Rattus norvegicus: one gene and its partners. The protein of the gene in region 1 interacts with the protein of each later gene in a pairwise test. Links are inferred from orthologs where the notes say so. Each region holds a gene or a part of one and is shown on either strand. Other genes may lie near its edges. The genes, in order: Disc1, Dpysl2, Gnptab, Crnkl1, Kalrn, Cdc5l and Cep63.

Evidence for each region.
Region 2: the proteins of Disc1 (region 1) and Dpysl2 interact in a two-hybrid assay, tested with the Homo sapiens proteins (2 studies listed by BioGRID and IntAct). The link is inferred for Rattus norvegicus from reciprocal best matches to the Homo sapiens genes DISC1 and DPYSL2.
Region 3: the proteins of Disc1 (region 1) and Gnptab interact in a two-hybrid assay, tested with the Homo sapiens proteins (2 studies listed by BioGRID and IntAct). The link is inferred for Rattus norvegicus from reciprocal best matches to the Homo sapiens genes DISC1 and GNPTAB.
Region 4: the proteins of Disc1 (region 1) and Crnkl1 interact in a two-hybrid assay, tested with the Homo sapiens proteins (2 studies listed by IntAct). The link is inferred for Rattus norvegicus from reciprocal best matches to the Homo sapiens genes DISC1 and CRNKL1.
Region 5: the proteins of Disc1 (region 1) and Kalrn interact in a two-hybrid assay, tested with the Homo sapiens proteins (2 studies listed by BioGRID and IntAct). The link is inferred for Rattus norvegicus from reciprocal best matches to the Homo sapiens genes DISC1 and KALRN.
Region 6: the proteins of Disc1 (region 1) and Cdc5l interact in a two-hybrid assay, tested with the Homo sapiens proteins (2 studies listed by BioGRID and IntAct). The link is inferred for Rattus norvegicus from reciprocal best matches to the Homo sapiens genes DISC1 and CDC5L.
Region 7: the proteins of Disc1 (region 1) and Cep63 interact in binary tests that used the Homo sapiens proteins (3 or more experiments, as listed by UniProt). The link is inferred for Rattus norvegicus from reciprocal best matches to the Homo sapiens genes DISC1 and CEP63.

Annotation. Positions count from the first base shown.
Region 1 is NC_086037.1:69,910,502-69,914,775, forward strand, and holds the start of Disc1 (disrupted in schizophrenia 1 homolog), read left to right. Parts: upstream 1-1,474; 5' UTR 1,475-1,629; coding exon 1,630-1,684; intron 1,685-4,274. UniProt on the Homo sapiens protein: Involved in the regulation of multiple aspects of embryonic and adult neurogenesis. Required for neural progenitor proliferation in the ventrical/subventrical zone during embryonic brain development and in the adult dentate gyrus of the hippocampus.
Region 2 is NC_086033.1:45,182,354-45,185,853, forward strand, and holds part of Dpysl2 (dihydropyrimidinase-related protein 2), read right to left. Parts: intron 2,895-3,500; coding exon 2,729-2,894; intron 1,207-2,728; coding exon 1,115-1,206; 3' UTR 1-1,114.
Region 3 is NC_086025.1:24,686,668-24,690,816, forward strand, and holds the start of Gnptab (N-acetylglucosamine-1-phosphate transferase subunits alpha and beta), read left to right. Parts: upstream 1-1,349; 5' UTR 1,350-1,500; coding exon 1,501-1,617; intron 1,618-4,149. UniProt on the Homo sapiens protein: Catalyzes the formation of mannose 6-phosphate (M6P) markers on high mannose type oligosaccharides in the Golgi apparatus.
Region 4 is NC_086021.1:153,797,615-153,801,114, forward strand, and holds part of Crnkl1 (crooked neck-like protein 1), read right to left. Parts: intron 2,425-3,500; coding exon 2,254-2,424; intron 1,200-2,253; coding exon 1,008-1,199; intron 387-1,007; coding exon 327-386; intron 1-326. UniProt on the Homo sapiens protein: Involved in pre-mRNA splicing process. As a component of the minor spliceosome, involved in the splicing of U12-type introns in pre-mRNAs.
Region 5 is NC_086029.1:80,298,749-80,302,248, reverse strand, and holds part of Kalrn (kalirin), read right to left. Parts: intron 1,624-3,500; coding exon 1,485-1,623; intron 71-1,484; coding exon 1-70. UniProt on the Homo sapiens protein: Promotes the exchange of GDP by GTP. Activates specific Rho GTPase family members, thereby inducing various signaling mechanisms that regulate neuronal shape, growth, and plasticity, through their effects on the actin cytoskeleton.
Region 6 is NC_086027.1:23,096,897-23,100,396, reverse strand, and holds part of Cdc5l (cell division cycle 5-like protein), read right to left. Parts: exon of another isoform or gene 3,115-3,500; intron 783-3,114; coding exon 570-782; intron 1-569.
Region 7 is NC_086026.1:112,050,147-112,053,646, forward strand, and holds part of Cep63 (centrosomal protein of 63 kDa), read right to left. Parts: intron 2,668-3,500; coding exon 2,553-2,667; intron 493-2,552; coding exon 295-492; intron 1-294. UniProt on the Homo sapiens protein: Required for normal spindle assembly.

The DNA of each region.
Region 1 (4,274 bases):
AGGACCAGTATGTTCTCTCTCTCTCTCTCTCTCTCTCTCTCTCTCTCTCTCTCTCAATTATTTGTTTATTTTTTTAAATATTTATTTATTATAGATAAGTACATTGTAGCTGTCCTCAGACACACCAGAAGAGGGCATCGGATCCCATTACAGATGGTTGTGAGTCATCATGTGGTTGCTAGGAATTGAACTCAGGACCTCAGGAAGAGCAGTCAGTGCTCTTAACCACTGAGCCATCTCTCCAGTCCACAGTATGTTCTCTTAGCTGTCAGGCCAGCTTCCCGGCCCGTTTTAAGACAGTTTATGTTATGTATTCAGAGATATTCCTAGCGATCCTTGGGTGCAAGTCAGAGATACCTGAGAGCATTCAATGGCAGGCTGGCCAATTCATCTGCATTTGCTATGGAATACCTCTTGGGGGAGGAGAGGGTTAATTTTAGCTTACCACTTGATCACAGGCCACCACTGAGAGGAGCCAAGGCAGGAGCCTGAAGGCAGGCCTGCTTACTATAACACACAGCATTAACCTCCAACCAAGAGCTCACCTCACTGCCAAGCAGGTACAGCAGGAACCGCAGAGGATGCTGTTTGCCAGCTGGCTCATAGATGGGCTTCAGTTCAGTTAGCTTTCTTGGTTAGTTCAAGACCTAGGTAATGGTGCCGCCCACAGTGGGCTGGGCCTTCGAAGGCCAGTTAACTGTCAAGACATTTCTTACAGACACAATCTGCCCTAACCCTAGCCCTGGGCTGTGTCAAACGGACAGGTAAAGCTAACTAGGACACTGACAGCCCCTTTTCCAACTGGATTTTCACTAAATCCAGACTCTCTGCTCATGTCTTTATCAACTTCAAGCCCCATCCACCCATGCTAACGTTAAGGCTCCTGGTAACAGGCAACTGGCTGCCCCACCTCTCCAGGGCCTTGTCTTCCAGTGGTCACAGGTTCCTCACTTCCTGTAGAAACTCTCCCATGCTTCTTCCTAGCGTCCCACTCCTCCCCCACGTTCCACCCACAGCCAGGCCTCCTGGCTTCAGGCTGACTACTCCCCACAGTTCAGTTTTGTAGGTTTATTTTTGCCTCCGGGTCCAGAGGGCCAGGTTACCCGTGACTGGCACTTCCTGGACCCAGTGTCCTGTAGCAGGTGCTTTGCTGGAGCAGCCAAAGGGAAGGGATGGTGGAGGTGAGCCAGCTGCTAGGAGCTTGGCACAGGCTTGTGTGCTCCTGGCCAGCCCCGCGCTGCCAGCGATCCTCAAGTCATTTTTAACAGCTGCTCCCACCCCCCAACCTGTCATCTGTCACTTGGTAGGAAGAAGTCCCTCTCTTGTCCACCCTGCCTTTTACTCCCAGGGTCGGGGAAGCGCCCAGTTTTTCGGTCCCTGGTCACCCTGCCCCATCACACTTCCCCTCCTTGGTTTCCTTCAAGTGAAAAGCAAAACTTTCTGCGCGCTGCGGTCTGGGAGCCGCGAGGGGCGGCGCGCGTGTGCGAGGGGGCCGAAGCTGGAGAGGAAGCGGCGGTCCTGGGCAGGAGGAAGGAGCCAGCCCTCGGCTCGGCCCCCTGCCCGTTTCCCGCCGCCTCCGCGGTCGCAGTCACCACCGTTGCCGCCGTCCGGAGCGCAGCCAGCCGCACGATGCAGGGCGCGGGTTCCCGGGGCGCTTGGATCCACAGTCCGAGCCACTGCCCAGGTAGGGCCCGGGGTCTGACGGAAGGCGAGCGCGGCCTGCCGAGATCCGGGCGCACCCCGGTGCGGGGGAGGGAAACCGAGGCAGGGAGCGGGGCGTGCCGGGTGCGGGCTGTCGCGTCTCCGGCTGCCACTGCAGCTCCCGTCCAAGCGCGTCCCCGCTGGGGGGAGCCTGGCGGCCTGGGGCGCAGTCGGTGGAGGGCGGCGTCCGCAGCGCCTGAGTGCAGCTCGGTCCTGGGACTCTCTCTCGCGTGGCCGGCGCGGACCCTGTGGGGACGCAGGGCGAGGTTGGGAGAGGTGTGGGAACTGCAGCCCGCACCTCCCGTGGGGCTGCTCGCCGCCCACTTCCGAGTGTGGACTGTGACGCGCAGGGCAGCGCAGGCTGAGGGGACCCACTCCATTTTCCCCCGTCAGCATGGGCCACCTACCAACCCTAGTGATGACATCGAGTTAAGTGGGCGGCCGCTTTTCAACAATGACCTCCGCAACTCACTGTCAGAAAACCAAGGAAATGAATGTGATGGCGCACGCCTCTGTTGCTAGTACGCAAGAGACTGAGCCAGGAGGATTGCGGACACTTTCTAATACAGCCTGAGACGCTATCTCAAAAACCCAAATCAAACCAGAATAACGGAAAAACAAAGCAAAGCAAAACAAAACAAAAACAAGAAAAAAACAAAAACCAAGCAGGGAGCCCAGCTCCAGACTGGGCTTTGCAGTTTGGGCGTGCCGTGCTGAAGGAGAGAGGGCAAGGGACTTAGGCTCTTATTTTAGCTCTTGGAGCCTCAGTTTGCCCATTTGTGAAAGGGGCACTAGCCACCCGCTTGCCTGTCTCCTTAACTAGGTTCTATGAAGAATTTTTTTTTTGCAAATGGGAGTTAGAAAACACAGGGTTGATGGGTGAGTGTAGGGTGAGAGTCTCCTGCACATGCGTCCTAGACTCGGGCTTGCCTCAGTTTTTCAATTTGCAAAATGGAGCTGATTTTCCTCCCGACTTGGTCGGGTTTTTAAAGGGTTTAATGTGGTAGGAGGGCATTAAACCCCTGGTTTAATGTGTCTGAGATACACAGCAAGCTCTCAAAAATCTTTTAGTTGCCCAGGTTAGCCTTAAATCCCCTGCATACCCTAGGCTGGCCTCCAATTCGCTAGCCTTGGCCTCCCAAGCGCTGGGATTACAGGTGTGCTCCACTACGCATGGGTCCCTAAGTATTTATTTATTTTTTTGACCGTACAAGACCTAATAATTACGGGTAATACAGGAATGCCAGTGTGAGTTAGTTAGCGTCTGAATTACAGGATATTTTAAAAGACATTTGGCATCTGATGTGGAGACTGTCAAGGTTTAGCCAGGACTCTGCTCACAGCAAAAAGAGCCCTGGATGAGAACCCTGCATTCTGAGCTGCCTCTCCCAGCCTCGGTTCTCTCTTCTGTTGACAGAAAGAGAAAGCACCGTTCACACTGAGTGTTGCCCTAGGATCAGGAGAAGCAGAACATCTGGAACTGGGGCTGGTGCCACCTTTGCAGAAAATGCATGGGCCAGGCACCTGCTCCTGCCCTAGGATGAGGTCCTCCTCAAACCTGTGAGGGCTGGTGCTACCATTCTCATCTTTTCTTCCATGAGGCAAGGGCTAGTCACCTGCCTGTGGCTTTGGTTGTTAAACAAGGACTGAGGCTCAGAAACCAGGTGCTGGTGTCTCCAATCACTGGCTGAAGGGAAGCCATGAGGTAGAGCCCAGGTTGAGAGTAGACCTTTTCTGGTCAAAGGCAATGCTTGGTCTGTTTCTGCCTTTTATACCTATTTTGTCATCTATCTATCTATCTATCTATCTATCTATCTATCTATCTACATCTATCTACCTCTATCTATCATCTATCTATCTATCTCTCTATCTATCATCTATTTATATCTATCATCTATCTACCTCTACTATCTATCTATTATCTATATGTCTATCATTAATCTATCATCTATCTATCTAACATCTATCTAACATCTATCTACCTCTATCTACCTACCTACCTATCTATTATCTATGTCTACTATCTATCTATCTATCTATCTATCTATCTATCTATCTATCATCTATCTCTCTCTATCTATTATCTATGTGTCTATTATCTATCTATCTACATCTATCTATCATCTATCTCTCTATTATCTATATGTCTATCATCTATCTATCTATCTATCTATCTATCTATCTATCTATCTACCTACCTACCTATCTCCAGCCATCTGCTTACCTACCTACATGCAGTACTAGGGACCACACCTAGGACTTTGTGCAATGCTAGACAAGCAGGTGAGCACTTCAGCACACCGTCCTACCTCTAGCTGGCATTTTTCATAATTGCAGACCCTAACAAAATGAGAGTAAATCACAGGAAGAACTTCGCCTTCCCCCTAATGTAATATTTTTATTGATTATTTGGGAATTTTATACAAATGCAATGCATCCCACCCCACTCACTTCCTATTCCTGCCACCCTCCCACCTTTGTGCCTCTCCTCCCCTCAACAAACAAACATCACCAAATTCAATTTGTGTCTCTCACACAGTCATTGTGTTGCTCCCAGTGGCCAGTCCCTTAGA
Region 2 (3,500 bases), on another chromosome or scaffold:
TTACAGATTTAACTGGAGACTGTTACTCCTACAGTCTAATTCTTCCCCCCATCTCTTTCCACCACAAGTGACTCTATTCTGGGCCCACATGTGACAATATTGGTGACATAATCAGGACCATCCCTGTGTCTGGCAAGCCTCAAGCTCAGCCACCTCCTAGTGACGGGAATCAGCTAGCACCAATCTTAAACAGACACCAGGCTAGCACAAAACTATGGAGTGGGGGTCAAAACTAGGGTCCGCTCAGGCTGTGTCTGAGGCCAAATTCAGATGCCTGGCTTTGAGAACAAACAAAAAGCCAGGGAAAAAAGCACATTGTCTCGAAGAAACACAAACCAGGAGACCAACATCTAAATCTCTCCAAGAGTGCAGAAGAAAAAGCCAGAACAGACCGGAGACACAGAAAAATGGTAGAGAACCTTCAAAAGGTCTAATCTGTTGCAAAATCTAGGCCAAAGAAGAAAACCAGTCTCTTCTCAACAGCTGACCCGGAAGAGTAAGGGATGGGTGATACAGACACATGGAACCTTTCCAGAGGGGCGGCGGTAGCCTGCCAGCCTCGGAATCAGCTTAATGGTTAAGTAATTGCATCATTAGGATGTCCAGTTCAAGACCCAAGGATTAATATTGAATCAGACTTTCAATTTAGTATTAAAAAAAAAAACACTCCCACCCCCCCATCCCTCCCCAGTCCCACAAAGAAAACCATTTTTAAAAATTTTTCAAAAGAAAAGAAGGCAGCTCAGGGTAATTCACTAAATCTTCCCCGTGACAGGAAGGTGCTGACTGCACAGCCAAGGATGTGATAAGGGCACCCTTGCTGGGATCTGCATGGTGGCGCATGTCTGCATGTTGGATGCAGCTCAGTGTGGGGTGGGTGGCTGGGCTTGGGTGTGGTGTTCATGACTGTGTAGGGACTTGGGTGAGCGAATTCAGAAACTCCAGGGGAGACCGAGTGCAGGGGGCCCAAGAGGAAGCCCCAGGAACTGGCTGCCCACAGCAACTATCACAGGCTCTCTCAAAAAAAGGAAAAAAAAATTGGAAGGAAGGAAGTCTCAGAATGTCCTCAGGTGTCCCATCCCCCATCCCCACGTGGCCTGCAGGCCTAGGAGCTTTAGCCCAGGCTGGTGATGTTGGCGCGGCCACCAGGGGGTGCCACAATGCGCTGGGTGGTGCGGCGGGGAATGTTGTCGTCAATCTGAGCACCTAGAGAAGAGGGAAGAGACAAAAAAAAAAAGAGTGTGAGGGTCTTCAGAAATAAAATCAGACTCTTGCGGTAAGCCCAGGAACACTCCTGGGGGAAAAGCTGAGCCAAGCACACATATCCCCACCCCTTTCTCCAAACCTCACTAACTACGGTAAGTTCAAACTACAGGAAGTAGGAGGACCTGCCTGCAGCCTACAGGTCATCTCTCCCTGGGCAAGTATAAATTTGATGCAAAGTACTAGTGAATATGGCTTTTCTGACACATGCCTCTCACTCAGGAGGAGTATGGATGGTTCAGGTAAAGAATCCCAGACCTGAAATTCCCAAACCCAGAATGCTCTAAACTCTACAACTATTTTAGGGTTGACAGGATGTGACCAGTGGAAGATTCCACACTTGACCTGATATGACTAACTGTAGTCAAACTTGAGGTACTAAAAATCCTGTATCAAATCCCCTCCAAGACTGTGTCATATGCATATGAAACACAGATGCATGGCATGCTGGCTTTTTAAGATTTTATTTCTATTTTTAATTATGTGTATTTACATGTATGAGTGCGGGGAAGTTATACACATAAGTGCAGTGCCTGCGGAGTCCAGAAGAGGGCGCTAAATCCCCTGGAGCTAGAGTTCCAAGTGGTTGTAAGCTGGCTGACATGGGGGCTGGGAACAAACTTGGGTCCCCAACAAGATCGGAGTTCATTCTTAACTGCTGAGCCATCTGTCCCTGCCCACACTTTGTGCTTGGACTTGGGTCTTAGTCACAACATAGGGTTCATTATCTACATATTTTTCCAGTTTTTAAAGAGGCAGACTAGCTTCCAGTCCCAACCATTTCTTTTACATAACGGACTGGCAACCTGTGCTGTCTATGTGAACGATTCGTAGATGATACACATTGTGACCAATCTCACACTTTAGGACAACAGGGCCTGTCTGCCAACCCAAAGCACCATGACACGGTCCTCGTTCATCACCGGCACAAATGGTATTTTCTAAAATCCGGCAGATGGGACAAGAAAAGGAAAGTCTGTAATGAACTATGCTGTTCACAGGTCACAAGGCCTTAGATATCTGTCTAAAGCTAAGGAAGTGGAGAGTGGAAAGGACCTGTTATGGGCCAGGAGAAAGAGGGGCAGAACTTTCCAAGACAGAAATCTACTCTTCTCCACTCACTGAGGTGTGGCTGTCACAACAACTCTACAGGGGGCTCTGCTGTGACACAGAAGGCCTGAGCAAGGTGAGGCTGCTGAAACTCCAGGCTCCACACTCATCCAGCACAGTTCCTCTTTAACAATGGACGTGACAGATCAAGGATTGTCCCTTCAGTCTGAAAGGGGTCACCCACGGGGAGTGTCTCAGCACCACATGGCCCATCAGAAGATGCTGAAACTCCGTTGTCATGTATAGTCTTTCCGTCTCTGCAGTGGTGGAGCCAAAAGCCTCGGAATGGCTCCACAAAGCTTGCTGAACCTACCTAGAACGCCCCCCACCCCCCACCTTACCCCCCCAGCCGTACCAGACAAGCTGAAACCAGACTGGTGCAGGTTCCGAACAGGTGGCGCCTGCTGCTTGGCAGGGGATGTCTTAGCTGATGAGGCCGGAGTGACCGTCTTGGGCGTCACAGACACCTCGCATACGGGTCCATCATACAGGCCACGAGGGACCCCCCTCAGCTCAGCCAGCTGAAACACACAATCGTCCCACAGCCTATGTCATGTTCACAGAGGACATCTTCCCTGCACCTTCTCAGTGTGATAGAATGGTAGCCAAGACGGGCCTGTGATGTGTGGGGATAAGCCCCTCCCCAGTATGGATAGGTACAACAGAGACAGATGTGCAACCAGCCCCCAAAGTTCTAGGCCAAAAGCTCTCCCAAGGTGACTCCCCTACAACAAGTTACTCAACTGGTTTCTTATAACTTTCCCCACTACGTCAACATCACCTTTGAACCCTCCAAGAAGCCCCCGGTCGTACTGTGAAAAGGGTCTTGTGTCATTTTCAGAATGAAGGTGTCTTCCCAATAGCACTCCTCTCTTATTTCCCTTAAAGCTCCACTCCCTCTCCACCTCGCAGTTCCTGACCACCAGCCATGCACTGTTCACCCTGCCCTGAATACACTGTACACCACAGATCGTATCCGTCTTCTAGTGTCTTTATCTCCACCCTTTGGCTTGAGAAACTCTTACTCAGCCTTCAAAACCCAACTGACATCTTCCACATCATTGTCCTCCATGACTCGAGAGCCGTTCTTCCCTCCTCTGGCTCCTTACCCCACACTCTGCAACAAA
Region 3 (4,149 bases), on another chromosome or scaffold:
CCTGCTTCTGCTTCCTTAGTGCTGTGATACACACACACACACACACACACACACACACACACACACATACACACACACACACACAGAGTGAATGAGTAAAGTTGAGTTTCAGAATATTCACCCAAAAGGTCTCTCGAATAATAATATGATGGTATGTAAGGGGGGTCAGGGTGGAGTTCCCTACGGCATCTTCTTTAAGTGCCCTGTATCATTGATTTCCTAGTTAAGTACAGAAAAGATACTTTGTTGGTAATGTTTGCTTTGTCCTTTTCTTTTTGGTGCTGGGAGTGAACGAAGGTCTTCCTCCATGTTAGGCAAACACTCTATTACCGAGTTACTTCCCTGTCCAGATAAACTTGTGTGTAGAAAATATTCATGGCATTCTAAGTTGCAGTTCCCAGACAGAAAAGCACAAAGAGATTCCACAAAGCCCCAAATCACAAAGCTTTGCGAATGTGGAGAGACACAATTGTTGCAGACCAGAGCCAAATTATCTTGGGATACTTCTGGTTCTTTTGAAAGACACTCTCATCTCTCTGTCTGCGCTAATAGCTTGGTGGCTATACTATTCAGTTGTATTTGAGGGTCCCTGAAATGGTTCAGCAGGTTAAGGTGCGTCCAAACCTGACTACCTGAGTTCAATTCCCTGAACCCACAGCATGGAAGGACAGAAATGACTGACACTCATCCTACACATACACAGGAGTGCCCATGCATACACAAACAGACGCAAATAAGTAAATATAGAAAGAAAAAAGTAATAGATGTTCTTAGCAGTTCATCCATCAAAAACTAAGGCATCAGATAGAATCTAAACCCGTTAGTTTACTTTGCTTTGCCACAGTCAGTCTACCTGTGACCTCAAAAATGTATTAGGTAAGTGCCTTGATTAGTGACTTTTGTTTTTCCAAAACTAATTATACCATTATACCTCGGGTAGGAACGTCTAGAGTAGATTATGCCATTTGGGGCAAGCCGAATGTGCATTCCCTAGCCACGATCTTTCAAATTTTCTTTCAAAGATAAACTTGAGACCGGTGCTGTGTTTTCGGACCCAGCAGGATTGCCCATCTGCATAATTCAGGGGACAGCCTGGGTTGGTTACTTGTTGATTGGGTGGGTCCCACGGGGCAGAGGGCAGAGGGCCGGGCTCGCAGCGCACGCGCAGATGGGAGGGCGCGCGCCTGCCCTTGCCCCTCCGCCCTCCAGGTGGCGCTGGCGACCCGCTGCCGCCTCTCCGAGGCCAACCCCGGGCGGCGCCGGGCGCCTTGCGGGCCGCGGGTCCGCCTCCGCCGCGCCGAGGGCGTGGGCTCCGGGCTCCCGGAAGCGGCGGCCGCGGCGTGGAGCCCAGCGGGCTGTCGGTCGCTGGAGCGACAATGCGCGGCAGCCGGGGACTGTGAGCTAAGCGCGGCGGCGCGGCCGGGCGCCCCTGAATGGCGGCTCGCTGAGGCGGTGGCGCGGCGCGGGCTCCTCCCGGCGTGGGGTGGCGGGGCCGGGGTGATGCTGCTTAAGCTCCTGCAGAGACAGACCTATACCTGCCTATCCCACAGGTATGGGCTCTACGTCTGCTTCGTGGGCGTCGTGGTCACCATCGTCTCGGCTTTCCAGTTCGGAGAGGTAAGTAGCGGAGCCCGAGCCCCGGGAGTCGCGTGCGCAGCCCTCCCGGACCGAGACCCGCAGTGCCCGCACCCCGAATCTCCCTCCTGCCTCCCCATCCTCCTTGCAGCCTGGGAACCAGCACACGGCCCACCCAGGCGCGATGAGCGCGCATCCTCTCCCCGGCTCGCCTGAGCAGCTGGACTGGACGTCCGGGCCTCCCATGCTTAGCGTGCGGATGGGTCCCCTTCCTTCTCCAGGGTGTCCCCAAGAGTCCTCCGGTCATTTGATTTTGGCTCTCAGGCCTTGCGCTGGTGAAACTCTCTCCTAGGGTTTGTGTTTTTCTGTAGCGATCCTTCATTCCGTGGCCTCCTTCGGATCCAATCCTGCGGTGCCACCCTACTAATCTTTCACCTTTGACAAAATACCGTGCCTTAATGTTTCTTCTGGATCTCAGACTTTGTCCTAGAGGCACGCGCGGTTTTGCATGTGAATTTTGCGCGGTTTTGCATATGGATTTTGCAGAGTGAAAGGGGGATTTTTTTTATTAACTTTTTTCCCATTTCATAATTGCTCTGCTGCTTTACTGCCGCAGCATGTCGGCGGCCGGAGGCCTTGCTAGTGAGAATGCACACGCTGATGGGAAGCACCAAGTGCTTATCTTAGAGGAACTTAGAGTAGGGACCTTGTCAGGTGACTAGGACTGCCTGCCGGATCTTGGACTCCAGCCCCGGACCTCTTGAGAGCCAGCACCGACCCTTGCGTCACGGGCTATGCTTATACATTTTAGATCAAGTCGCTGGCCCTTCTTGGACTGAGAACTGCGCTTAATTAATGTTGAGTAAAGCAGTTTGGTTAGACTGTAAACTCTTCAAAGGGCGCAGGCAACCGGTTTGGGGGGTGTGAAACACCAGGTTAAATGAATTTTATGCTCCTTTGGAGACATACCTTGTTACTACTCTTAAATTTCAGTTATTTGATTCTTGGTAGTCCGATAACAGTATAATCTATCTTAAGTGTGCAGAGGGGTATGAGCAGGTCAGCAATGCATGGGCACAAGTGGGGCGGCCATTCAACAAAATACTGCCCCTAGAGACAGGAAGAAAACGTGTGCTTTCAAAGATTTTGGAATTGTCTCCCTGTTTTATTTATTTGCTTGTGTTTTAGTAAGAGGTTTAAAGGGTTTTATAATTAACAGAGCGCTCTTATAAAACAGCACAGTACACATGTGTGTGCTCTGTGGAGGAGGTGGTAACAGTTTAAATATAAATGCTGTAACTCTAGCCCGAGCCCAGTGCCAGGCACTGCCAGTGTGTACATTCTAAGATCTGTTTAGTGTTTAGCATCTGGCTGAACGATATGGCCTGTTTCTAAGTGTGATTTTAGTGGTTCTAGGGACTAGAAAAATAATTTTGCTGGTGAGAATGAGAACCTTGTCCAAGCGTGGAGTATTTTAATATCCCACTACCTCCTGGTCAGTCTTTGTTCATGTCTTGTAACTTGATATGTTTATGCACAGTTAGTGCCTTACTGCTTGTGGATGACTCTTGATTTTAAGAGAGAGCCTCACTAAGTTGCCCAGACTTGCAACTGAACTTGAAGTTCAGTCTTTCTTTCACAGCCCTTCTGAGTGCTAGGGTTCCTGGTGCATTTTTTTTTTTTAAGATTTATTTATTTATATGAGTACACTGTAGCTGACTTCAGACACACAAGAAAAGGGCGTCAGATCTCATTACAGATGGTTGTGAGCCACCATGTGGTTGCTGGGATTTGAACTCAGGACCTCTGGAAGAGCATTCAGTGCTCTTAACCACTGAGCCATCTCTCCAGCCCCCGGTGTATGTTTTTAACCTGGTTCATTTTAAGTGAGCTGTTTACTAACCACGGTGTAAAATAAATCTATTACAGCCTTGAAGAGTTTGAGACAGGGTCTCACCACGTAGCCCAGGTTTGGCTGGAATCCCCTATGTAGACCAGGCTGGCCTTCCACTCAGATCCATCTGCCTCTGCTTCCAGAGTACTAGGATTCAAAGTGTTATGCCAGGAGGCCTGGCTTGTAGGCACAGATCGTAAAGTTTAGATTAAATGAGAGAAAGAAGAATAAAGAGTGTCCCCAGGTAGCAGGAGAGGTGGTGGCAGCTAGCCTGTGGTGGGGGGAGGGCTGGGGAGAGCTATCTGGATGTGACTGATGGCTCCAGTAATACTAACCATGCTAATAACGAACACATAGTCCTCACTAGGTATTCTCTTAACTGCTTTACGCACCCTTTTAGTCGTCACAGTATCATGTGATGTGGACAGTAATATTCTACTCACCTCACAGGTAATGCAGCTTAGGTGTTTGTACAAGTTAACACAGCTAATTCACAGCAGAGATGAGCTTCAAACTGAGACAACTGGCTTTGATGCCATCGTCATAATAACACCTCTTTTAAAGATTTATCTATCTATTTTTTTTTGCACACCAGTGTTTTGCCTGTATGTATATGTGTGAGTAAGAGTGTCAGATCCCCTGGTACTGGAGTTACAGACATTTGTGAGTAGCCATGTTGG
Region 4 (3,500 bases), on another chromosome or scaffold:
AACTCAGTCAGCACTTCCAAAGCAGGACTGTTCTTTTGTTTTGCATTTTGGGAAATGCGGTAGAGGTAAACATCTTAACATATGCAAAGACATCATGTGTTCAAGCACACAAGCAAGCTTTCAGTTATCAAAAGACCCACTTGGAATCCCTATGTATGTGTTCTGTCTTCTTTCTTCCACTCTGCCTCTCTGAATCCCCACCCTCCTCAGGATTTCTACACTGGTAACTGCATTACTGACGTGTCATAATAGACTGTTAATGGTGCCACTCACTTGAAAATTCAATTGATACATAATAAAATGTGATTTTGATCCAGCAAGTGTACCTTTTTGTGAGGAATTAGTTCCAAAGATGCTTGATACACCTGTCTTGTCCTCTCAGGATCCTGTATTAATATGAGAAATAGATAAATAATGCTAATATTTATTTTGTCAATTTATTTCATACCTGTAGTAAAAACAGACTTCCATTTCTCAAGACACTATTTTTAAAAATTGATTTATGGTCAAAAACAGCAACTACTTTTGATCATCAAACTTTTTCTAAGAGTAATAATGTGGCCATGTTTGAATGCATCAATGTAGAAAGACCTTAGCTGGACAGCAGAAAGATGTTACAGTCTCAGATGAACAGAGGATAGTCTTTACCTATTACTGGCTTCTGGAAATGCCACTTGGTTTTTACCAAAAGCAAAAATATACAATCTGGCCCTAATCTTTATTTGTGATAAAACACAAATTGGGGAACTATAAGTAATTAAACTGCTTCACTGGTTGTTTCAAGTTTTAAATGTTATCTATCTTACTGTGCCTCAAAGTTTTAAAACAAAACACCCCTATGTCTTAACAGGCATGGTTTGAATGATGTAAATTGGTTGCTAGGGCCCTAAAAAAATTTAAAACTGTTTGTCTCAAAGATTGTAGCTATCGGTTAATACACAGAGCAGGCAAGGTCATGATGCTGGGGTAAGAAAGGTATTCATGGCTGCCCCCATTCGCCTTCTCACCTTGGCCTCCAGCTCTTCATAGAGTGCGTAGTTAACCCAGAGGTAGATGTAGCGTTTCCAGTGCCTCTTCTCCTGGATGGGTGGCACATTGGCAATGGCTCGCTCATAGACTTCCCGCACAGTGTCCGCTTCTGCATCACTTTCCACCAAGCGTAAATAATCAAACCATGCATCATAATTGTGTGGATTAGCCTAGAAAAAGACCCCAGCTTAACCGATAAACACAGAACCAAGAGCCAGACTTCACAGGCTGTCAGAACTGTAAGGAGACACCAAACTTTCTATATTTTAGTAATTTTCTCCTTTAGATCTTTACCTGCTATCTCATTTTTAAAACATCATGCCTGAGATCATACAAAAGGGACAAAAAAGGTAGGGACCTCGAAGCAGAGACTCTTTCCTCTGCTGCCACCAAGTATGAGAACTGCTTGATAATGACATTCCATTGTCTCTGAGACAGGGTCTCACTCCACACCCTAGGCTAGCCTTGAACTCATGACAATTATCTTGCCTTGGCCTCTCCAGTCCTGGGACTACATTGGTTTGAGCTACCGTGGATAGCTTTCAACTTGTATACATGTACTTTTTTACACATATGACTGTATACCCTTATGTTGAAAATGAAATTATAATGGGTATATACCAGACTCTAAATCAACAGTCATTTTTTTCTGAACACATTTACTGATCTACCACTGTAATTAACACCAGACTTAGTCCTTTGCTCGGAGCTATCTCAATCTGACTAAGCAAAAGATACACTGAACAGTGAGAGAAAACACTGCTATTTTTGACTGAAATCAAATTGGTAAACTGCAGAGCTTAAGAACAGACTGTCTACTGTAGATCTCTTGCTCGTGCAGAGCAGGTGTTTAGAACCATCTGACCCTCCCATCCTTCTCCAAAAATGAGCTCAAATAAATGCCACATTTTTTTTTTCAGCCATAGACTTGATATGACACCTAGCCTAGCCTTGAACTAACAATTTTCTGCCTCTATCTCCCAAGTGTTAGGACCCACATTTCTTCAGCTTGCTATTAGTTAAAGGTGTCTGCACCTGGGAATGGCAGAGTAAATCCAAGTATGGCTTGCTCTCCTTTCCACCAGCCACGTTTACTCTAATCTGCCTGAAACAGCTCAAGTCTGTTAGAGGCGTCATCGAGAGAGTAATCAGTAGCCCCACTTGCTATCACGTGCACCAGCCCAGAGACCTCTAACAGCATGAACCATCTACAGCAGTGCCCACCTTCACTTCTTCTTCATACTGGAATCTCCGTTTGCTCACGATGATGTCTTCTATACCCCTCCGGTCACCAAACTTCTTCTCAAAGATGGTATAGTTTTTAAAGAGCTCTTGGGCCTCTTGCTTGGAAATCCTATCCAGGGCATATTTGTAGATAACTCGTACCCTTTCAAACTAAAAGCAGGTAGGAAGATTATCATCTAAAACATAATCTCATTTTAGTCACGCCTTGAAAATAACTACAACCTATTACTTATAAATTAAATTTTGAGGCTTCAATCAGAAAAGATTCATATTTAATATAATAATTCTGTATTTATAGCTCTACATTTATAGATCTATATTAATGCTTCCATATGTAATATTGTCATAAAGCTTCTCCATCCTGGGTCCTTTTTCAGGCTGGTAGGCAACACCTTCATGGCATGCCTGCTCATGACCAAAGCCCCACGAGTCTGTTCTGGTTCCTCTCCTGTTCTCTGCTTCATTGACTCTCTGAACAAGTGTCAACCGACTTTTAATTTCTTCACAACTGCCCTTTTCTCCTGCTACTGACCACCTCCTTTTCTGAGAACTTTTGAAAAAATCTCACCGGATTCCCGGTTTTATCACCTGCTCCTTGGTAATTAGTGCTGATGATCAAACCCAGACCTCGACTGAGGCTCACAAGTGCTCTTCCACGGAGCTTCATCCTCAGATCTCCCCCACCCCGCCTCTGCTCTTGCTATGCCCCTACCCTGCTCCAAAATATTTTCATAAACTAGCCAGAAGGTCACTGTCCCACTGAAAACCCTCTAATCTGTGGCTCCTAGAGAGAATCTGACCCCTCCAATTCTATTCTTTTCTGTGTACACCATGGAAGAGAGGAACTGGCGTATCTGTGGGGCAATCTGTGTTCCCATTGTACGTTGTTTCCTCTGCTTGAGGGCACTGGTTCTTTGCCTCCCCAGCTCATTATCCCTAAGACCCTTGAATCAGGATACCAAATGGCTCTCAAGAGGCTACACATGCACTTTTGTGTTTTCGAGATAAGGTCTATGTACTATGCTGGCTTCAAAGTTAAGCTTTGCCTCAGCCTGAGTCAATCATCAATTTTCTGAGAGGTGGCATTGGAGGCATGTGCTAAGACACCCAACTCCAGGTATTCATATTTAAAGGTGTAATTTTCACACAAAGCAGAGTGAAATTAAGACAGTCGTTGTACATGACCACTCAGCTCCAATGGAGAGCTCAGCAATAAATGTGTGCTG
Region 5 (3,500 bases), on another chromosome or scaffold:
CAGCATCTTCCAAGTCGATGAGTTTCACTCGAGGCACTGGGATCCGGAGGTCAATGAGGAGGTTTTCAGGCTACAGGGACCCAGGAAGGTGGGGACAAGAGAGGCAAGATCAGGTCTTGGTTGACCCCCAGCTAGAATTTGTTAGCTAACAACGTTCTATTATTCTTTGATTCAGTTTGTGTATGTGGAATACTCCCAGTGCAAAGGAGGTTTCAAACTCACTAAACTCTGTTTCAGTTGCACTTTAGATAAGCTGGCTGGCATTGGGGGAGGAGTACAGGGCTAACTGTGTACTCCTGTCTGGCCTGGAACTTACTTTGTTTATCAGGCTGGCCTGGACCTTACAGACATCCTCCCATCTTTGTCTACTGACTGCTGGGTTTAAAAGGTAAGGGCTGCTGCACCCAGCCTGTACTTCCCCACTCTAGTGTTAGAGATCCAACCCAGGGCCTCATGCATGCTAGGCAGGCGTTCTGCTACTAAGTCATATGCCTATTTCAGAAGAGCACGTCTTTCTTACCTACCCTTTGCTCTTGCAGTGAGTTACGAAAAGAAATAGCTTTTTAAGAAAAAAGAAGCTTCTCAGTAAATGTGTGTGTGTATACATGTATATGTGTGTATGCGTGTGTGTGTGTGTGTGTGTGTGTGTGTGTGTGTGTGTGTGTATTGGTGGGTGGTGGTAACAAAGGCCTTTAATCTCAGCACTTAGAAGGCAGAACAAGGTGGATCTCCAAGTTCGAGGCCAGCCTGGTCTACAGAATGAGTTCCAGCATAACCAGGGCTACACAGAAAAACCCTTTCTTGCAACATAATTATTTCTCTTTATGTGTATGTATTTATATGAGTGGCTTCCATTTGGGTGCAGGTGTGTTGAAGGCCATAAGAAAACATCAGATTCAGTGCAGTTGCAGTTACAGGTGGTTGTGAGCCAAGCAATGTGGGGCTAGGGAAAGAACTTGGATCTTAAGCACTGAGTCATCTCTCCAGCCCTCAGAAGCTCCTTTTTCTTACAGAACAAAAGAGAATAGGACATTAAGTGATGTCTATAAGGTTAGACTACTTGGCTAAAGCTTTCACGCCTTCTCTTAGCCCACCTGCCACCGTCTCTCAGGTGTGTTCTCCTTCATTCCTGACATTCCTGAACAATGCACGTAAGTAGGGTGAAAGTCTAGTCCTAGTTTAATAGTCACATGACGTCACAGTAAGTAGACAAAAGAAATTCAAACATTCCCTTGAGCAATAGTGATGCATGCCTTTTATCCCAGCACTTTGGAGGCAGAGGCAGGCAGATCTCTGAGCTCAAGGCCAGCCAGGTCTACAGGGTGAGTTCCAGGACAGCCAGGGCTCCATGGAGAAGCCCTGTCTTTATAAATACAAAACAAAGCAACAACAAGAAAAAGAAATCCAGATTTGTATTCCTCAAGGAAATGGCTGGTAAGTTGAACTCGTCTGCTTCACTTCAACAGGTACTGATTTTCTGTTACCTTTATGTCCAAATGTGCCACCCTGCAGTTGTGAAGGTACTGCAGAGCTTCCATGATGTCTCGAATGTAGAAAGCTACCTTTTCTTCCATCAGCTCATCGTGATTCATTAGGTAGTCCAAGAGTCGGCCGTCATCCATCCTGAAAGCAGAGGAGGGCAGGGGTGGGGGATAGAGAAATGACCCATGTATATAGCTTTAAAAGCTCTAAGAGGTCTCATTAATAAAGTTTAGTATTGCACCACACACGTACTCTAGAGCCCAAAGAAAGTGCCACACTCAGAACTAGAATGAATCAAGTTACAAACGTGTTACGCTGCAGGAGAAATCCTTATAGCCCCTGGCTTTGAGAGGTTAGGTTGGGGGTTAGGGATTTAGCTCAGCGGTAGAGCACTTGCCTAGCAAGCGCAAGGCCCTGGGTTCGGTCCCCAGCTCCGAAAAAAAGAAAAAAAAAAAAAAGAGGTTAGGTTGATGGAAATAAAAAAAGTCTGGTGCCAATAGTGAGCCTCATGTATGTTAAGGGTGTTTTCACTTTTAACGTTTTTAGATGGGAGAAATGTGAAGGAAGAAAGGTTTGTCCTCAGCATAATTGATCTCTTCCTAACTCCTTCGCCTTTCTGACAGCTTGCCAGCTTTTAAAGACTGATTGAAAATGGGATAAGTGGAGCCAGCCATATGCAGATTTGGGTTCTGGTTCTGCCTCTTGCCAGCTGGTCGCTGTGAATAATCACTTAAACTCTCTGTGTTTGGGCTTCCCTGAAAAGGTAACATCTTTTAAGGTGGGGATAGCAACATCAACAACAGCAACATCAATGACAAAATAAGACCTACTTCTTTGTCAGGCTTGTGCGAGAGTCAGACGAGGCAATGAGGATTTAAGGCATTGTCTGTACTTATGCTTGTGGCGGTTTAAATGAGAATGGCTCCCTTAGGCGCTATGTTTGAATGCTTGGTCCCCAGTTGCTGGAACTGTTTGGGAAGGATTGGGAGGTGTGGCCTTGTTGGCGAGGGTGTGGCACTGGAGGAAGACTGTGAAGGTTTCAAAAGCCCATACCATATCGAGTTAGTTCCCTGTCTTGTGCTTGTGGGTCAAGATGTAAGCTCTCAACTGCAGCTCTAGAACCATGCATACCTGCCTGCTGCCATGCTCCCCACCATGATGGCCATGGACTCACCCTCTGAGACTGTAAGCCCTTAATAAACTCTTTCTTCTATATGCTGCCTTGGCCATGGTGTCTCATCACAGAAAGAAAGAAGTAACACACAGTACTGAATAAATAGTGGCTATTTCTAGGCCACTTTTTTTTTTATTTGTTCCTTGTTGTGGGACCCTTCTCTTTTATTGATGGGTGAATGATGGAGCCCCTGGAAGGCTCCCTACCTCCCTCTGATCTTCTAGGGATGAGGCAAGAGAGGCTGGAGCACAGAGACGTGGTACTGTCTCATCACATGAAACAAATAGGGGTACATTTACAACACGGCTCCAAGCAGTGTTCAGCCACCCACCCTCCTTAGAGCTATTCTTCAGCCTGCATCCATCCGAGACCATCTCCATCTCCATTTCCTGGTAGAGGAGGGTTCCACCAGTTATCCCTATTGACTGCAGAGAAAGACTGAGCACTCGATTTCACAGGCCTTGCTTTCCACACACCTTCCCTGAAGATCACATCCAACAGAGCACAGTTCTATGTTCTCACAAGCTTGACTAAGGTGTGGTCTCTAGTATTTCCCATGTCATTTTTAAAGCATCATTTATCTCCTGGTCTTTGTCTCTTTAACTATTGGACTTACAGCCCCTAAGGATGTGAGCTGTCTTTCTGTGCCTAGTCCTACTGCAAACTGATGCCAAGGCAAGTTGTTATATCCATGGATGTCTCCCTACTCTGAGGAGAGAGGGAGGGAGTGTGAAGCCCAGCATGGCCTTGGTGGGGACGGAGTGACATAGTTCCTGCCCCTGGGACTGGGCATCTGTGCTTAACAAAGGCAAGCAGATCGCTGAGTTCTTTTGCAATGATAAGA
Region 6 (3,500 bases), on another chromosome or scaffold:
CTCAGGTTCTCACAGTTCACAGAGAAACCAACAGCCAGTATCTTTGCTATCAAACTAGTACCGCAGCCACTCGTTGCTCTGGCTGTGACTGCCATCCTGTAAGAGCTCTGCAGTCTTCTCCACACCCACACACACTGCAAAGAGCCCTGACTGCCCTGAAGCTGGGCAGCGGCCACAGTGCACACCTAGAAGATAAATCTAAACCCAATTTGGCCAAAGGACCTGATGTTCTGTGATGTGCAGCATCTTCAATCATAAAACTAAAAGATGCGGGTTCCAAGAGCCACATATATATGACAAGCCACTAAGTTTCAAGAAAACTAGTCGCAAAATTGACTTACTCTCCCACACTGTCTATCCTTTAACACAAAAGAAAATGAGCAGAGTCTTCAGAGCGGCAACCGTTTGTTTGATACCCATCTGAGCATAGGCAGGGCTAGATCAGAAAGTCAGAACCCACTCCAGTCTAGATACCTAGATACCTTAGAGATACCTGCTAGAAGGAGGGGAAAGGAAGGACTGGGCAGCCCTTCACAGCTCCTGAGCGATTAGGCAGCCCATGCCGTTACCTCTAGCCTACGGGGAATAGCAGAGTCTTCGTGTTTCTTGAGTTCCTCAAAGGTGCGCAGCTCCAGGTGCGCCTGCTCGATTTGGTCCCACAGGTCGTTCAGCTGCTTCAGGAGCCCCATGGCGCGGGACTGGTAACCACCCAGCAAAATCTTCATCTTTTTTTCCATCTTTGCAGCTCTCTTGGCTTCTGTTGTCATGTGACCCCTGTTTATCTGGGGAATTGGGGAAGGAGCGGAAAATCACTCAATATACATGAAAAAACAGATTACTATGTAACAGGGCTAAACTAAGTACCTAAAGCAAAACACACCAGAGTTCCTCCCACCTTCACTGATACAATGTGTAACACAAAATGGCCTCAACAAGGAATTACCTTATACCCAAATATTCCATAACTTCACCCAAAATTCACTCCAAAGAGGGCTTGAATTTTGGAGCATGGAAAAACTGCTCTCTACCTTGTGCAAATGATTTCTGTGACCATTCATCAGTCATTCTAGACTGCCACCTAGCCATCTTTTACATACCAAAATTCACTTCAGTAGCACATGTATTCCCCGTCTTACACCGACCAGTATTCCACCCGAGTGCAGCAGGCCACTTGAAATGGTACTGTACCCACCCACCTCCAGATTACTGCACTGCAAGGCTAAGTCAAGTGAGCTAACAGGGGTGGGGAAGGATACTGCATGTGTGCATGTTGGAATATGGGATGGAGCTAAAGCTACTTTAAATAAAGCTCCTTTAAAGCCATCGTTCTCTCAACATCTATACAGGCTAAGCTTTTATGCTTCTGCAATTGACTTAAACCCAAGTATACTGCTACTGTTCCTTATTTTCCCCTCATGGGCAGTAAATCAGTAAGTTCACAGCATAATACATCTGCCAAAGGAACCAACAACTACTGTCAGGCAGGCAGCTCAAACAGTGGGTAAGAAACAGTGGGACTACCCAGCTGTTCCAACGGAGCAGTTATCCAACCTCAGTGCCTCCATTTCACCAGCAGTAGTAAAACGGTGGTCACTGCTGACAGTTAGCTGTGAAACTTAAAGGAGATGATGTACACAAACCCCAGACATGCAGAACCTGGCAGAGAACAAGCAATCAACAGTTATGAGCTGATTACAGTGATGGCTTTATAGACAGGAAGAGGCCAACCTTTCATTCCTCTGTAATCAGTAAAGGACTGAGAAAAAGACTTGAAAATCTTTAAATTTCAACTTCAACAAAAGACCTGTTGTGGGGGAAGAGCAGAGAGCAGCTGTGCTTTCTTTTGGATGAGCAGTGTGCCTTCTGCAAATCACCATATCAAAGACAACACAGGACCTCTCTTTCACAATGCAATGATGTCAGAACATAAGCATATTGGTGCTCTTTGACTTGATGAGGAGATTTTTGTTTTAACCAGGAAGTTCAAATGAGGTGAAGGACCCCTGAGTATACTCAGTGCCAGCCATGTCCTTCCCAGCATATACTTAAGTGACGACATGCTATGGCAGAAGCATATATACCTTGTTCACAGCAACACGACTACAACCCCATCATATCCATGGTATATGGATAAACAAAACGAGCTGTTACCTACACAAGAGAACAGCACACAGCCATACAAAGCAGGAAAGTACTAACACGCTACTTGTGAACTTCCAGAACACAATGTTTAATAAAAGCTGCCAATCACAAAAGCCAACACGCAACATGACTTCACTTCCATGAAGTATCAGGAATGGGCAAATCTATGTGAAAAGGAACTAGTGCAGCCTTCAGCCCCACATTGAGAAGAGGAGGAAGTGATTGGTGTGGGTATAGGGGTTCTTCCTGGTGTGAAGAAAATGTCCTAAAGGTACAGTAACATCTATGCAGCTCTGTGAGTACAGAAGAAACACCTATCTCTTTACCCAAAAGCAGCGGTCTGAGCTGTGTGATTTACACCTCAGAGTCCAAACAATGGAAAGAGTACTTCTGAGAAACAATTCTTCTAGACATAAGAACTCTCCCCTGTCCTTGAGAGCATAAGCAGAACTTTCTGGATCTAGGTTCTAGAAAGATGGTATGGAGACCTACTTACGCTAGAACAATAGTTCACAAAGGACACGAGTCAGGCAGCTCACAACCTCCTCTAAGTCCCAACTCCAGAGGACCCAATGCTCTGGCCCTCTTGGGCACCTGTACTTAAGTGCACATGCCCACACACTACACACACACAATTAAAAATAAAAAAAAATACTTATTTTATTTTGCAAAATAAAATATTTTAATTTTGTCTCACAATGCAGCCAAGGAAAGAAGAGACTATTTTACATTTACTCTCTTCCATAGAAAACATTTTTGGAGCATGCCTTTTTTAACTAGTGAATAGACCATGACTAAACTTATAATTATTTGTGAAGCTCTTCAAAATGACCAGCCCCAGGGGTTGGGGATTTAGCTCAGTGGTAGAGCGCTTGCCTAGCAAGCACAAGGCCCTGGGTTCGGTCCCCAGCTCCGAAAAAAAGAAAAAAAAAAAAAAATGACCAGCCCCAGTTTCTGATTCAATGATTTCAGAGCACTGTTTCCCAAGCCCCCAGTAAGTTCTAATGAGCAGCCAAGATGGAGAACGGATCCAGCTGAGATCAGCAGAGAACTGGTATCAACTGTCTTCTCAACCACGTCCACAACAGTCCTCCCGCCACAAGAGCCGAGCAGCAAATTCCACAGAGCTACATCAAGGTCTGTACTCAACACGATCTAATACCCATATTAGAGTTCACTCACATGTGGGTTTCAATACACATCCAAAAACTCTTAAAAGCATAGAATTTCAAGTTAATACGGTATGTCTTAAAAATTAGTTATACAAATTAACATTTTCATTGGTTAAGATATCTCAATTAGCTTTACATTGACCACAGTCCATAGATATTTGATTTCCAGCCTGGTTAACAGCTTAA
Region 7 (3,500 bases), on another chromosome or scaffold:
GTCTTGCATCAGACTAGCTCCGCATGGTCCCTTCCAGCTTTCTCATTCTCCTGCAGGAATCGAGATCTTTAGATAACTAACTCCTCAGCTGTGCCACCAACACCTTGCCCGTGTACCACTTGTCTGTACTCATCTGACCTCCCCACCAACCCTCACTGTCCTGCTTGCTAACCAGCCCAAAGCAGGTATCTACTAAAAATTCACTGAAGTAAGTAAGGAAGTTATTCCTGAATAAATTCATTCATTTAAGACAAACAAGCAAACATTAAGTGGAGAGCTCTGGGTGGACTTTACCTTATGCTCTACGGCCTTTTCTTCCGCCTTCTGCATCTCTGCCTTCAGCTGCCTTTCCATGTCTGAGGAGGAACACTTGGCAGAAGCAATAGTGATATCTCGCTGGTGCAACTCCCGGGTTAGCTGGGAGATTTCCGTCTTCATTCCTTCCAGGGCAGAGCTGTAAGTCTGATCAGCCTGCAGAATCTGTTCCTTCAGCTGTAGAGAGGCACAAAAGAAACATTAAAAGTTCAGAGAAAGTATTTAGGATTCAGGCATATGAATCTGCACAGCCATAATTCTAACACTTAGGAGGCAGAGCCAGACACAGGAAGACCCTAAGATTGAGAACAGCCTGCTCTGGCCAATGGTCGCAAGGCCAGACTGAACTTTGCAGGAAGACACCATCTCAACAACCAAGGTTTAGAGATGTAGCTCAAGGTTATAGCACTTGCCTAGCATACACAAGGCCCCAGAAGAACAAAGTATTTGGAGAGAAAAACACCTGGTTAATGGCTGCCAGGAGAGGGTTGTCACTTTTTTCAATAGTGTAGTCACTGGTAAATTGCTCTAGTAGATAACTCCCTATCAATGATCATGTAAGCAACCCTACTTAAACTCAGTAGAAACACAAAGAGAAAGAAGGAGACAACATAGGGAAGGAGATCACAGAAGGGAATAAAAGAGGGTACCGGAGATAAATATGATACAATACATAGTACGTACGTACATGTGTGTATGTGTGTGTGTGTGTGTGTGTGTGTGTGTGTGTGTGTGTGTGTGTGTATGTGTGAAATTGACAAGTAAATGTTTAAAATATATAGAATTTAACAAAGAAAAATATAAAAAAAATTAATAAAATAAGGTAATGTTTATCTTACCTTAAGACATAAAATTTTTCCTAGATTAAATATACATAAAATCATCAATTTACCAACTTGTATAACTATTCTGAAAATTTGGTGGTTAAATTCAAAATCATGCATTAGGTCTTAGAAGAACATGTGTTACTCAATCACAGGGGTCGATGACAAAGTCTATGTCTAATTTATGTAGTCTCTATGAAAAGACTTTCATTCTTTTCACAGCAACAAATTAAAGCGTGTTTGTTTTAGGTTTTTGTTTGTTTCTTTATCTAGTTTTCTGTTTCTCAGAAGAGAAATAACAGAAAAATAAGAGACAGAAAGGGGCGAGAACCTTTAAGGAAGATGGCTTAGTCTATCACAGGCCTGCAAGCAGGAGCAGAGAGACCTCAGTCTAGATTCCTGCACCGCCCATAAAATTCACCTTGGAAGGTTGTGTACATCTATAATCCCAGCACGGGGGAGAAAGACAGCAGACACAGGTTGATTCTGGAGTTCAATGGCCAGCTAAGCTTGTCAGCCAATGAATACTGAGTTCAGTTAGAGTCCCTGAGGCAGGTAAGGGTGTGGGGAGAGAGCAATAGGCAGACATTTAATATCTACTTCTGGATTACACACGCACATGCGTATGCACACACACATATACACACACACACGCATACACACACATATACACCCACATACACATGCATACACACATGCATACACACACACACACACACACACACACACACACGAACTAACAATAATCTCAAGAAGTAATGAAAAACACAAATTAAGCCAAGTAGAGTAACAGACACCTCTAATCTCAGTATTTAGAATTCAAAAGGCGAGAGGATCATGAGTTTGAGGCCAGCCTGGGCTACATAACAAGACTAATCCTCCAAATAAATCCTCCTAAAATTTTTATTTATTTTTGGTATTTTGAGACAATCTTGTGTAGCCCAGGCCAGCCCTGCTATCCTGTGTCTGCACCTCCCAAGGCCAGGATTAGAGTGCGTCAGCACACAGGGGACAGGACCCCTTAATAAAAAGGCTCGGAATAACTCAAGAGTCAATGAGGACATTAACTACTCCACAGCACAAAGGAAATATATATTCATCTTTAGCCAATAAGAAAATACCAAATGATACGTCATATAATATCTTTTTTGAAGAATAATAAATACACTTGTTTAGAAATCATCATGAACATATTCGATCACGTTTTTAATGTACAGGCTTTCACACTCCCCCACATGCACGATGTACTTTGATCACCTATATCATCCTCTCTTACCCTCCTTGTCCCCTGAGCAGCTTCTCCTCACAACTTCTGCCACGCTCTTCCACTGACCATCGGACAGTGTCCTGAGCTCATCCCTCACTAAGCGCCGCCCGCCCAGCCCTGAGCCCGGCACAGACGCAGGCTCTCACCTTCTTTATCTCTGTCCGGTACTCATTGTTATGCCCTTCCATCCTCTTCAGCTCTTCGTACTTCTCCATCAGTTCTTGGCTCAGCTGTTTACATGTTGTACTCACAGATTCCAAACTGTATGGCAGAAATACAACCACATATAAATAAAATTCCTGAAACTCATGAGATGGATTATCTAAGTGTACCCTCTCGATGCCCAAGATACCTCCTACTAGCACCTTAAACTTTATAGTTAAGTCACTTGCAATTCCCCTATCACTGATGCAGCAAACCATGTCAGCACTGAGGTAGTTTTGTCCTCTGTGTTTTCCTCCACTCCTTCCCCTCATTTAAACTTTACGGAAGTATAAAGACACTGCAGCTTTACTAACAGTTCTGTTCTAGTTGTACGGGTCTTCTCTGGCTCTGTGAGAGAGGGAAAGCCACCAGGGACTGTCACAACAGACTCACACTTCATCACCCTTAGCAACACACAGACACACACACCCTGCATACTCTGCAGAACCACAAGAACTCTTAAAAGAGTCCCCAGCTCATTATTCTTACTCAAGAGCTGATCTTTCTGAGACTTAAGACCACGAAGGCAGCACACCTCGCAGTCCAGTGCTCTTTTCTGACAGGATCTTTTTCACCCAAACTGCTAAGCTTTACTTCTGCCATCAGGCCGTTCACTCCGTGCCTGCCTCTTGTATCAGTGTAATCATCCCTCACCACAAAGCACTTCCTTCCCCTGACCCTTGATGACCATACCTTCTCAGAAACTAAATTGGCTCCGACCTAACCCCTGCCCCCCATTTGCCTTATATAATTCAATTTTTATAACTTGAAGATAAATTTTTCTAGAAATGTTCTACTTTAAATATGCTAATTTAAATTCCTCAACTCTTTAACATGAATATTTTGTCTCTGAAACTGAAAACTCTATGGTTAAAACATTTTACTTCTTA